2 linked regions of the Danio rerio genome follow. The protein of the gene in region 2 binds, or shares a complex with, the protein of the main gene of each other region. Links are inferred from orthologs where the notes say so. Each region holds a gene or a part of one and is shown on either strand. Other genes may lie near its edges.

Evidence for each region. Proteins that work in one complex are often made in the same cells at the same time.
Region 1: the proteins of cdk4 (region 2) and ccnd1 are in contact, whole or in part, in a crystal structure (PDB 2W96), measured with the Homo sapiens proteins. The link is inferred for Danio rerio from reciprocal best matches to the Homo sapiens genes CDK4 and CCND1. Residues at the interface, in NP_000066.1 of Homo sapiens: Gly45, Gly48, Leu49, Ile51, Thr53, Val54, Arg55, Val57, Ala58, Leu59, Arg61, Arg62, Ala65, Phe66, Asp76, Val77, Cys78, Ala79, Arg82, Ile87, Val89, Asp129, His132, Ala133, Asn134, Cys135, Ser285, Phe287, Arg288; in NP_444284.1 of Homo sapiens: Leu6, Cys7, Cys8, Glu9, Val10, Thr12, Ile13, Ala30, Lys33, Ala34, Thr37, Phe108, Lys112, Met113, Glu115, Pro118, Leu119, Thr120, Ala121, Leu138, Gln139, Glu141, Leu142, Val145, Asn146, Lys149, Trp150, Asn151, Leu152, Ala153.

The regions. Positions count from the first base shown.
Region 1 is NC_133182.1:69,631,115-69,638,226, forward strand, and holds the start of ccnd1 (G1/S-specific cyclin-D1), read right to left. Parts: upstream 3,846-7,112; 5' UTR 3,567-3,845; coding exon 3,369-3,566; intron 1,972-3,368; coding exon 1,756-1,971; intron 1,385-1,755; coding exon 1,225-1,384; intron 1-1,224. UniProt on the Homo sapiens protein: Regulatory component of the cyclin D1-CDK4 (DC) complex that phosphorylates and inhibits members of the retinoblastoma (RB) protein family including RB1 and regulates the cell-cycle during G(1)/S transition.
Region 2 is NC_133186.1:163,335-170,405, reverse strand, and holds the start of cdk4 (cyclin-dependent kinase 4), read left to right. Parts: upstream 1-3,061; 5' UTR 3,062-3,062; exon of another isoform or gene 3,063-3,366; intron 3,367-5,093; exon of another isoform or gene 5,094-5,299; intron 5,300-6,623; coding exon 6,624-6,841; intron 6,842-7,071.

The DNA.
Region 1 (7,112 bases), on a different chromosome or scaffold from region 2:
CATAGCATGACTAAACTATAATGAGAGCAGGGTTGGTAGGGGACAGTCCGTGACATTTGAGGCCATTCTGCAGCGGGGCTCAAAGCCTTCGGGGGAGGCAGAGAACTTTGCTGTAGGTCCTGAGCAAGCTACCCCCTACACAGCCCTCTCATTCTCAAAACATCCCATAAATCATGCCTCTTTGTGCACGTTAATACTAAAAGTGCATGGAAATCTTAGGATTTCAAGATTTTAACATTTCCTGCTTTAGAAAACCCATACCCATCACAACAACTTCCTAAAAATGGCTTCGGAGCACTCATAACCCTCACACATCCATTAAGCAGAGCTTATAAATCAAAGCCACCTCTTGCCCTTATATTCTCACTTTGCACTTCGCCCACACATGGAGAATAGAGAAATACAACTGCCTTTCTAATAGGAAGTCATCTAGCACTGCTAGCTCAGAGACGAGAGGGCAATTGTCAAGACAAATTGAGCATAAAGGCACAGGAGCCTTCACCCCAGCCCATTCATTTCATTCACCAGCACCCACCCCTTCCCAGTATCCATCCAACCACACTCTCCCTGGCTAAGATCCCAGGCTACTTCCCAAAGAAATGCGGGTCATAAACATAAAAGTGAAGCGAGCTGTGGTGATACCCACCATGTAAATGGAGGAACAAAAAGAGTATACCCAAGTAGTTCCTTCCTGAAACATTACTGGCCTACTCTGGCAGGTGATAAACTGACTGCTGTAGGTTGCTCGACAATGAGGTGTAAGGTCAAAAAGTGGATTTGCAGCCTTACCCCGAAGCAAACACTCTAACTAAAAGGGTACCTGGACATCAAGATGTCTAGACATGGGAAAATATCAGGTTACAAAGCCCTTTTCACAGGGAAAATGTCAGAAAACTACTTCCGCTTTTTGGTTCACATGCACTGTGTGCACAGAAGCGGTATCGTGAAGCAGGCAGGGCTTCTCAGAAGCTCTGGAGCAGTCAGCAATCACCACAAAAGGAAACAGACTTCCTCTCTCTTTGCAGAGCCTCTCACTGGTTTACAATAACTGTGAGTATGGAATTAGGACAAGCAAGATGGCTCGTTCAATTGCAATAAAGAAGTCTGCCTGAAAGTAAAACACTGTGAGGGAAGGATCTTCAATGCATGACCATGATAAAGTGCTCAAAACTTTTGCAAAGTTACCGAAACAAAATAAAAGTGAGCTCAAAAGTACAAACATACCTGTCGCACAGAGGGCCACAAAGGTCTGGGCGTGTTTGCGCAGTATCTGCTTGGAGCTCTGATGTATAGGCAGTTTGGCAAGGAAGTGTTCAATGAAATCATGTGGTGTCACTGAGGCCAGATCCCACTTCAGTTTATTTAGCGCCAGCAGTTCCATTTGCTGCGAGGGAGATATAAAATGGTCCAAGTTTACATAAAGCCCCAGACGATTTTTCCATTTCAGATTTTACACTCTTTGAACGCTAGATGGAGATGTCGATTAATTGCACAATAACGCAAGGCCTACGTTCAATTAACGCACACATCAAAAGCACCAACAATTTGTAACATGTACTGTTATTTACAGATATCTGTGGGTGCCTTAACACTTTGATAAACTCATTTAGCTCGTTGTTTCATGCAATACCTTAACGTATAGGTCTTTGAGCAAAATGACCTTCAATTGCATTATTTTACTTTAATTCAGCACAAAAAAAAAAAAAAAAAGAAAACAATATCAAGCTGCTAAATTAAAGAGTATTAAACATTTACCAATAATTCGCCGGGACGGACAGAGTTGTCCGTGTATATGCACAACTTCTCTGCTGTAAGTGGCACAGTCTCTTTCATTTTTGAAGCCAGAAACATACAAGTTGCTCCTAAAAGCTGCAACCTGGTTTTTTTGGTGGGCTCCACAGATAAAAACCTGTCCAGGTAGTTCATAGCCAAAGGAAAAACTTCCTCTTCACATTTCTGCTCTTCACAGACCTTTAAAGAAAAGAAAGTGCATACGATAAATAAATATTAAGTCACAACAGCAGCTAATTCTTTTAATTAAACGTGTAGAAATATATAAATAAAAAAAAATAAAAAATAAAAATAAAAACTATTCATAGAAATTTATTAAATAAACGAAGTGCAAATATTTTTTAAGCTACAGTATGCTTTGATCTTATCGAGTTATCCCACGTGTTTAGCATCTGCTGATTCGTACACGTGCAGTGGAAAGGGTTAAATTAGAAAAAAAAGACACGTGGAAATGCTTAAAAATAGTATTTAATCAGTAATTTAAGTTTAATCCTAAGTGTTGCACAAAGTATAAATGTTACAATTTGCTTCTGATGCTAATGGTCGTTGCTTTCGAGGCAAAAAGGTGGCGTCTGAGCTCGGTTCAGGAAACAATTTTCTAGTTCGTCATCTTTTCAAAAAATATTTAAAAATATACGAAAATTGTTTTGCTTGACTTTAAACACATGTAAATGTACTGTAACTCATGCTTTATTAGATTATGCAAAAATATTTCGATTGCAATGACAAAAACTACGTGAAATGAACTGAAATCCAAAGCCCCATCATACAAAGGGAAGCATGCGACATTTAGGTGAAGCGGGTGTTTCATAAATTAATATAAATTATTCCTTAGCATTAAATCTACTGTTAAACATCTGTAAATCCACATTATTAGAGGGTTAACATAATCCGATAGGTTATAACACGATGTTGAATTCAGAAATGAAATAATACAATATTTTTAGACCGTCGTGCAGGAGGTATGACAAACTGAAACAAAACTTTTAAGACACAAATATTACGTTTTCTTGCAAAAATTTGATTTATGTTATACCTGTGATTTAAAAGACAACTTGTGAGCGCTTTTATGCAGGTGATGTCAATTATGTTTCCATTTTAGAATTTAGAGAAATAAAAAACTTAAGCAAACGACAACAAAGATGGCGTATAATAGGCTACTGGCACGAGTGAGAATGCATACGTGTACATTGGTATTAAAATAAAATAAAAATAAATAAATGTATCTATATTTTAAAATATTTATAAGAAACGAAACGCATGCATGAAAAAATAACAACCCTAAATAAAAAGGCTAAAGCGGAAAGCACGGAAAACGTCTCGTGTCGGATTAATATTTCGTAATAAAACATTTTTACGTAAAAAATAAGCAACAATAATCGGACAGCGTGTTTCTGTGTGATATTTCTGGGATGGATAAGCAATGCCGATGAACCCAAGTCACACTAAAGCATTTTTTTTCATTTAATAAATACTTCTTGGAGTCCAAAGAGCAAGAGTAGAATCATCGTGAGGCAACGTGTGTAGCAGCAAATGCAAAAAAAAAGAGATATATAAATATATTATCCAAAACAAACCTCGAGCATCCACGTCGCGACGATTTTCCTCATTTTAGGCACAATTTCTTTCTGAACACACTTGAAATAATTTGGTGATGGGAGATAGTTTTCCTCAGCTTTAAGCATTGTCTGTAAAACTCGGTCATTCAACAGGTTGCTGTCTTGGTAAGCTCTTCTTATGGTATCCACTTCGCAGCAAAACAACTGGTGCTCCATATCTTCAGTGTTTAGCAGTGAGAAAAGTAAGAAAGCTGGAGCTCGAGTCGGACACTGGTCCCGTGGATGCTTTTTGCTGCCTCTGCTGAACCCTCTAAAAGTCTCGCTGCAGCTCTCCGCTTGACAAAACTCCCCTATGACGTGACTGTTGTTAAGGGAAGATCAAAGCAGCAGCAGCGAGCCTGTGAGAGAGCGAGAGGCTGTCTGCTCAGGGCGGAGGATCAATCTAAAGAACTATCTGCTTCTCAGTTTTGGCTCCTTTCTTTAGCCCTATGGAAATAGGAGGTCCTACGCCGGGTGACGAGTGACCAAGGAGAAGCGGTGGTGGGGGTAGGCTGGGCCGGGGTGGGGGCGCAGGGGGCAGGCTGCTAGTGTCGTGGGTATCGGGGGTGGAAAAGACTGGGGTGAAGATGTGTATTGGGTTAGTATTGGTAGGGGGCAGTATAATAGCCTAAATCAAGGTGCCCACACTGTCGCATTGAAAAACTTTTGTCACTGTAATTGTACAAGCATATATCAAAAGTTTTATTTGTAAAATAAATTTGGTCACAGTCACTTGTCTGCTTTTAAAATCAGGCTTTTAAAATGTTTTTAAAAGATTTTGGATTACTTTATGAAGTTTCATATAGCTAAGTTTCTGCACAAACTTGAATGTGGTTTCAGTAGGCTATATATGAAACAAATGTGTGGTCTTGGGTGGAGGCTTGTTTTATTTTTTTGTTTCTTTTTGGGGGGTTAGACTTAAAGAAGGAAGCACAAATTAGCCTAAACCAATGGAGGAGCACGTCAGTTGCCAGGCAGAACTGCGGCACGAGCTTTTATCTAAAAAAAAACTCCTCGTGGAAATGTTAAATAAACAAAATAAATTGTTAAAATTAATCATGTGAAGCATTCTTCTTGTCGTATTTAATAATACATTTCCTTAAATCTCATTTAACTTTTTTTTTTCTCTTTGTACACCAAAACATTAAATATTTCAAATAATAAAATAATACAAACAATAAAGTAGTTATAATATTTAGACTCGGAAACAAACCGCGTTAAAAGAAAACATTAGCTCACCGGTAAAGTTTAAACACGACATCTGCAGCTTTAACAACACAAATTGTTTGATAGAGTTTGATCAAACAGGGGCGCTCTCACTTTAAAAGACCTCACTGCTGTCGCTTCAGGATGAATTGAAGCTTTACAAATTCCGCACATTCCACTTCAATACCGTAAAACAAGTAATTTGCCTGTGCCCAAAACTTCAGCTGCAGAAAGAAGCTACAATAAAGTAACAACTTTAAATGTTAATAAATGTATTATAAGCTTATTATGCTATAATAGCAGCTAAGTTACTGTATTAAGTTCTATTACTTTAAACCTTTTTGAGAACATGCATATTAAAGAAAAAATATAACTTTTATTTTTACAGAAAAGACAAAGACAAAAAACTTTAGAGTTGCAGAAATAAGCTAGAGTAAAGGAACAACTTTAAATGTTACATGGATTTAAGTGTTCTCACAAGTCATTTACATAAGCATATCAACAACACTCTGTGTATATATATATATATATATATATATATATATATATATTTATTTATTTATTATATATTTAGTAGCAAACAGGCTAGTACGTTCATTCTAAGATCAAAAGTTATTTTATTAGCATAGTATAATATTATCTTAGGCTATAATAGCAACTGTTATTAGGCTACTGTATTATTTACTATTACTTTAAACCTCTATAAGAACATGCATATAATGGAATTTTGTATTTTTTTTTTTTTTTTACAGAAAAGACAAAGACCAAAACGAGTTGCAGAGAGAAACTAGAATACAAGAAAAACTTTAAATGTTCCACTGATTTAAGTTTTTTTCCCCCACACGTCATTTTACATATAGACATATCAACAATGCTCTTTAAATATTAGGCAAATATATTAATTAATTTAATAGCAAACAGTAGTTTAGGCTGTTCATTATAAGATCAAAAATTACTTTATTAGATTACTTTAATAATATATCAGGCTATTATATGACACTGTATTACTTACCATTATTTTAAACGTCTATAAGAAATGGCATTTGAAAGAAAATAATTCTTTTATGAACTTTCTTTTTCTTTGCATAAAAGACAAAGACTTTTTATGCGTTTTCTTTCACGTTTCATTATGTCCATTATAAAATTAGCTGAACGAGTTCATGTTAGGATAAATGTAGTCCTTTAGAAGGCTGATAATAACAAAAGGTAACAGTAATCAGTTTATTTTACAATACATAAAAAAAAAACGTATTAAAACTTTACATTTTTCGTTTTTACTTTTAAAGCCTACCTGCTAAGATTCTGAGATCCGCCTATCAAAACAATAAATCAGAAGTTGTTTTAGGAAACTTTCGAACTAAATAAACAGTAAATAATTGCTTCAACATGTCAGAAAGCTTTCTTGGGCTACAAAAGTTTTGCTAACAATGAATGAGCGACCATGTGAGTTTTTCTTGCGCGTGCATTACAAAACATACGGCAAGCGAATAGGAAGTTGCTGTTCTCCAGCCCAATCGGAAACCATTCTTGTCTGTTAGCTGCATAGCCTGCAGTGCATGTACATGTGAAGTTATACTTCGCTGTTGAAGTCACTCGTTTACAAATTATTAAGATGTTTACTGTGGATTTCCGATGTAGTCCGCAAAGGACTAATCTGATCAGTTATTAGCCTAACCTGAAAGCATTAACACTTTAAATTTCTTCTTGAGCTTCATAGACAAAGGCTGTATGTGTTTGGAGAAAAATAACATATGGGAATCTTTTATTTCTAGTGACTAACATAAAAATAGTAAATAATGTAAACTTTTATAATTGTAGAGCAGTTGGGGGCAAATAATAAAATCTTTCTGGACAAAATTGAAGTTGAAATTAATACACTGTAAAACCCCACAATCAACTTTTTCAAACAAAATGAGTTTAGTTAACTCAATTTTTACAGAAATTTATTATATTCCTTTTAAAAAGTTTTAAACTCAATGTTGAAGGCAATGAGTAATTGAATACCTCAGTACTTCAAATTAAATTGAATAAGTTCACAGTCCTTACATGAATTAGTTTTTTTTTTTTAAACTCATATGATTTGTTGCAATCGGTTTCCTCAAACGGTTTGAGTTGCCTTATTGGGTTTTACAGTACTCAGTTGGTTTGAATTCTTTTCATTTATTAAGTTTTAATGTGCTCAAATTGCTTCTTTTATTCAAATGGATTAAGGTCAAAGTACACATTAGGATCAGCTTTGGAACGTGAATTTATTATTATTATTATTATTATTATTATTATTATTATTATTATTATTATTATTATTTTATGCAATCGGTTTCCTCAAATGGTTTGAGTTACCTTACCTTATCTACTTTTTGGGGTTTACAGTGTACTATTTACTTTTAGTTTTTTACTTGGTATAAATAAATTATTCAGAGTTATAAATGTTTAATTAATTAGTATATATATAATATATATATATATATATATATATATATATATATATATATATATATATATATATATATATATATA
Region 2 (7,071 bases):
TGACCTTTGAGAGACCACTGATGACCTTTACAGACAAGTGATGACCTTTGAAGGACTAGTGATGACCTTTGAGAGACTAGTGATGACCTTTACAGACTAGTGATGACCTTTGAGAGACTAGTGATGACCTTTACAGACAAGTGATGACCTTTGTAGGACTACTGATGACCTTTACAGACTAGTGATGACCTTTGAGAGACTAGTAATGACCTTTACAGACTAGTGATGACCTTTACAGACAAGTGATGACCTTTGTAGGACTACTGATGACCTTTACAGACAAGTGATGATCTTTGAGAGACTAGTGATGACCTTTACAGACAAGTGATGACCTTTGTAGGACTACTGATGACCTTTACAGACAAGTGATGACCTTTGTAGGACTAGTGATGACCTTTGAGAGACTAGAGATGACCTTTACAGACTAGTGATGACCTCTACAGACTAGTGATGACCTTTGAGAGACTAGTGATGACCTTTACAGACTAGTGATGACCTTTACAGACTAGTGATGACCTTTGAGAGACTAGTGATGACCTTTACAGACTAGTGATGACCTTTGAGAGACCAGTGATGACCTTTACAGACTAGTGATGACCTTTGAGAGACCAGTGATGACCTTTACAGACAAGTGATGACCTTTGTAGGACTACTGATGAACTTTACAGACAAGTGATGACCTTTGAGGGACTAGTGATGACCTTTGAGAGACTAGTGATGACCTTTACAGACTAGTGATGACCTTTGAGAGACCAGTGATGACCTTTACAGACAAGTGATGACCTTTGTAGGACTACTGATGACCTTTACAGACAAGTGATGACCTTTGTAGGACTAGTGATGACCTTTGAGAGACTAGAGATGACCTTTACAGACTAGTGATGACCTCTACAGACTAGTGATGACCTTTGAGAGACTAGTGATGACCTTTACAGACTAGTGATGACCTTTGAGGGACTAGTGATGACCTTTGAGAGACTAGTGATGACCTTTACAGACTAGTGATGACTTTTACAGACTAGTGATGACCTTTGAGAGACTAGTGATGACCTTTACAGACAAGTGATGACCTTTGTAGGACTACTGATGACCTTTACAGAGTAGTGATGACCTTTGAGAGACTAGTAATGACCTTTACAGACTAGTGATGACCTTTACAGACAAGTGATGACCTTTGTAGGACTACTGATGACCTTTACAGACTAGTGATGACCTTTACAGACAAGTGATGATCTTTGAGAGACTAGTGATGACCTTTACAGACAAGTGATGACCTTTGTAGGACTACTGATGACCTTTACAGACAAGTGATGACCTTTGTAGGACTAGTGATGACCTTTGAGAGACTAGAGATGACCTTTACAGACTAGTGGTGACCTTTACAGACTAGTGATGACCTTTGAGAGACCAGTGATGACCTTTACAGACTAGTGATGACCTTTACAGACTAGTGATGACCTTTACAGACAAGTGATGACCTTTAAGAGACTAGTGGTGACCTTTACAGACTAGTGATGACCTTTGAGAGACCAGTGATGACCTTTACAGACTAGTGATGACCTTTACAGACTAGTGATGACCTTTACAGACTAGTGATGACCTTTAAGAGACTAGTGGTGACCTTTACAGACTAGTGATGACCTTTGAGAGACCAGTGATGACCTTTACAGACTAGTGATGACCTTTACAGACTAGTGATGACCTTTACAGACTAGTGATGATGTTTACAGACTAGTGATGATCTTTGGGAAACCAGTGATAACCTGTGGAGACTAGTAATGAACTTTAGAGTCCAGCGATGACCTTTGAGAGACTAGTGATGACTTTTACAAATTAGTGATGACCTTTGGGAGACTAGTTATGATCTTTACATAATAGTAATGGCCTTTGAGAGACTAGCAATGACCTTTATAGACTAGTGATGACCTTAGGGAGACGTGAGATGACCTTTGAGACCACTGTTATGCTGACAATACACTCTATATCTCCTTATAACCCGATAATAAGTTTTAATCATTATATGAGATGCGCCATCCTGAGAACAATAACACCTGTTGATGCCTAGTCTGTCAAAGTTCACCACAACATGCTTTTGAAGTCAAACACAGCAATGAAAGACTGATGGAGAGACGAGGATTTGGACTGAGAAGACACAGGTGTAAACAATTAGCAGGATATCCAACCCTGTACAGCTCATCATAGATTCAGACACTACAGACGACCGCACACACACTGATACGCTGACTTGAGGAATCATGCTTGAGCTCTAGACGCCTTATATGTCTATGTCACATGCCTCCCTACTGTATAGTATGTGAAAAACAGGAGGCGAGCCGAGTGTGTCTGAGTATTGAGTAGTGTGTGTGTGTGTGTGTGTGTGTGTGTGTTATATAGATGGACATGAAACACTGTGTAACACTGTTCTGAAGCTGAGTGTGTGTGTATGTGTGTGTGTGTGTGTGTGTGTGTGTGTGTCTGTCTTTGAGAGAGAGAGAGAAACAGAGATGTGGTTTTCACAGTCCCGTTCACTTCCTGCATGCACTTCCTCTTTCTCTCCAAAACTGACACTCAACATGACTTTCTTCAGAAAACACAAAGCAGAAAACACAGCACAAACTCTCCAAACTACATGAAGAAAACCAGAACAGAAGAGCACACATCATAAACCAATGAAAAACACAGAGCAGTGAAGCCGCTTCCTGCCACTGATGCTGCCATTACGACTCTTTAAGGTGAATAATGCAGGTGTATTATATGAAGAAGACGAGCACGCGTGTCTGAACAGCTGTACACAGAGCAGTTCTCAGAGCAGACAGACATATCCCTCATTTCTAAGATCTGTTAGACTACACCGGACACTGTTTCCAGCATCGCTCAGTCAGGTCCACAGTGAGGAGCAGCAGGAACGTATAAAGCAGAGGGTTTCAGCGTGTGGATCTGGACTGAGGACTTCAGAAGCGGCTCCGCTCACCTTCTTGATGTGGTTGATGCGCACCAGCACACCCTGCCCACGGTCACGGAGGATCAGCAGCTTCTCCGCCAGTTTCAGCTGGTAGGCCATGGTGAGTGTGTGTGAGTGTGTGTGTGTGTGTGTGTGTGTGCAGACTGAAGAGCTCGGAGATGGAGCAGAAGTGAAATCTACACGTTCAGCAGGCGGAGGCAGCGCTCCACTTCCGCTCTCAGCTTTCTCTAATCTGAGTTCACTGTGTCGATCCTCTCTCGCCCATCACACTCACTGCTCAGTCTGATGAAGTGCCTTTAAAGGGTTAGTTCACACATAACTTTAACACTGTCATCATACACACTTCCTCAGGCATTTCAAACCCTTAATGAGTTTCTTTCTTCAGTTGAACACAAAGGAAAACCTGTAACCATTGACCTCTACAGTATTTATTTTCCTACAATGGAAGTGAATGGCTACAGGTGTTCAACATTCTTCAAAGTATCTTCTGTTCTGGTTGAGTGACGCGTCAGTGTCTGTCCTGAGACTGCACACATTACTGACTCACAGCTGATGTTATGTGCAATCTGAGATTTCAGGATCTAATAACCCTAACACAACCACATCTAACCCAGCACATGATGAGGCCTTCACCTGTCTGTACCTGCTGAGACAGAGGAAACACAACACACACTGCTGACACCTGCTGGACACACACATTTTCATTTAATTTTCTCTCAGGTTAATAAGAGTGTCTGTGGCCTCGCCCTCACAGAAATGCACATTATCATATGCTGATGACGTGTGTTGGTGATGTAGCTTTACTACAAATCAAGAATCTTCATTCATCTATAAGCAGATCAGCACATGGGCTCAGCACTACTGCGCTAAACCTGTGACAAGCAGCACAATACAGAGTCACATCCACAAACACCAGCCAACACTGCACTGTGCCAAGAGGAAGCCCTATGTTAACAGTGTCCAGCAGCGCTTCTCTGGGCTGGGAGGCGTCTGGGATGCAGCATCACACAGTGGAGACGTGTCCTGTGCTCAGATGAAGCAGTGTTTCAGGTGTTTCTGGGAGAAATGGACGCCGTGTGCTCCACACCAAAGAAGAAGAGGATCATCCAGACTGACACCAGCAACACGTCCAGCAGCCCGGCTCTGTCATGGTCTGGGGTTGTGTCGGTGCTCTTGGCGAAGGTGACCTGCTCTTCTGTGATGCTCCAGAGGAGACAGACGCTGGACTGACCTGCCTGCAGTCCTGACCTGTCTCCAATAGAGAATGTGTGGCGCTGTACTGTTGCCTACACTAAGACTTGTTTGCAGGAGGAATGAGACAGAATTATCCCTGAAACACTTCAGCACTCGCCGTCTTCAGTCCCTAAACGTCTCTGAGTGTTGTGAAGAGGAGCGGCAGCATGACAGAGTGGGAAACGCTTCACTGATGCAGCTGTTTCTGAAATGTGTTGCAGGAAACATTCATTTATTTATTTTCTTTTCGGCTTAGTCCCTTTATTAATCTTGGGTCGTCACAGCGGAATGAACCGCCAACTTATCCAGCATATTTTTTACGCAGCGGATGCCCTTCCAGCTGCAACCCATCTCTGGGAAACATCCATACACACTCATACACTACGGACAATTTAGCCTACCCAATTCCCCTATAGCGCATGTGTTTGGACTGTGGGGGAAACCGGAGCACCTGGAGGAAACCCACGCCAACACGGGGAGAACATGCAAACTCCACACAGAAACACCAACTGACCCAGCCGAGACTCAAACCAGCGACCTTCTTGCTGTGAGGCGACAGTGGAACCCAAACTGCAAAGTGTTTATTCAGAAAACACAACATAAATGATGAGGAGCACATTAATCATGTGTGCTGAATTACCTGCAGTCAAACACAACTCACAGCACACGTGTTCACACTCACCCAATGTCTGCTGATGTGGGGATGCAGTTCAAGTCGTTTATTAGGGTAATATTGAGGTTTACTGGTGTAAGTGTGTTAGTGAGGTAAGTTTACTGGTGTAAGTGTGCTAGTGAGGTAAGTTTACTGGTGTAAGTGTGTTAGGTGACTGCTGGAAGTGTGTTGTGATTGGCTGAAGTGTGTGAGGGTCTAGTCGTGTCGCTCCGCCTTGAGATCAAACAGGAAGTGAGTTGAGACAGACTGTGAACAGGCCAGAGTTTCTCACACAAACTTTAATGAGTTAAACTTCTGAAATATGAACTGAAATCCTCAGTCAACAGCAAACTCCGCACAACAGCCCGCATCTGAGCGCCGCGGAGCAGAAGCGATGCGCGCTGCACTCTCATAAACTAGTTTAACTAGCTGTGCACGCGCGGAGAAACGTGGTGAGTGCTCAGAAGTGTGTGTGTGTGTGTGTGTGTGTTCAGTATATACAGTGCTCGTAATGACCCGTGTTATGATGTCTCGATTATGCTGGTTCAGCTCGGTGGATGTGTTTGATGACGTGTTGTTGTTGTTGTGTTGTTGAGTCTGTGAGTGTCGTGATTGTGACTGATGTTGTTCTGCTCCTCCTGGGAATGAGCAGCTCCGGCCAGCACTAACAGCGCTTTACCACAGTTTACCTCATTACAGCGGTGCAGGACACACTCCTCCAGCAGCAGCGGGTAAACACATCCTCACACTGCCGCTGAGCTGAAGAGTGCAGAACACGGAGAAGACAACTGCAGGAGCTCTACTGAACACACACACACACACACACACACACACACATCAATATAAGGAGCCTGTGTGGTGTCATATCAAAGAAAATGTACAGTTATTAAGAAAAACACGCTCTCTTATACTATGAACACAGAGTTAACCTCACTGAAACACTTCTACAATTATCACACACTTATAAACATTAAACAGGAGGGAGGATGAACAGCGCACAGTGGCCAGCTTTACTGATGCACCAAATATATATATATATATTTACATGTTGTGTGTGAGAAGCAGTAAATTACAGGTCATCATCATCCACCAAACACTCAAATATGGAAAATGTTTAAAAATAAAGTCAATTTTTGACATTTTAGGAAGTTTTTTGTGGGGAAATGTTGTAATGGTGCAGCGCTGGGCAGCAGAAATGCAGTGTTGCTTGCTTTACTGTGTGTGTGTGTGTGTGTGTGTGTGTGTGTGTGTACAGTTTATTTAGATCAATGACAGCCTACATGTCTGTATGTCACACTAATGATCATCAGAGAAGTCTTATATTAAGAAAGAGGAGAATCAAAGTGTGCGTATTAACACACACACACACACACACACACACACACACACACACACACACACACACAGAGTGTGTTCGAGGTTGTTCTGGCTCTAGTGATGGTGATGTGCTTTCAGGCTCTGGGTTTGTGTGTTTGTGGCCTGTTTACACAACCAGCAGCGCCACACAACTGAGCTGTTGAGTAAATGTGGAGAAACTGGTGTGTGTGTGTGTGTGTGTGTGTGCAGGTTTGTCTTAATACAGCTAAAACTGATGTTTCTGTCTTACAGCAGAGTCACACACACATACTGACAGCAGTGTGTGCACATGTACAGGTGTGTGTGTGTGTGTGTACAGGTGTGTGAGCGTGTGTATGTTTGTGCAGGTAATGATGCCTGCAGAGGAACTTGTGTGCGCGTGCATCAGGTGATGGCACAGTAATGTGTGTGTGTTTGCAGATGGCGCAGGAGGTGGGGCTGCAGTATGAGCCAGTAGCAGAGATCGGGGGCGGGGCTTACGGGACCGTCTATAAGGCTCGGGATCGGGACAGCGGGCAGTTTGTGGCGCTGAAGAGCGTTCGGGTGCAGACCAATCAGGACGGACTCCCACTGTCCACGGTTCGAGAGGTGGCTCTGCTGAAGCGCCTGGAGCAGTTCGACCATCCCAACATCGTCAGGTACACACACACAGTTACATACACACACACAATCACTGATACACACAATTACTCATGGGCACACACACACACACACACACACACACACACACACACACTGATCTCCTTCAGAACTGTAGTAGTTCTGCAACTGTTTGTTTGAGGTTCTTGTTTTGCTGAAAGATCTCGTAATCTGTGTGTCGCGTCCTCTGTGCGTGATGACGGGGTGTGTGTGTCTATGATCAGGCATT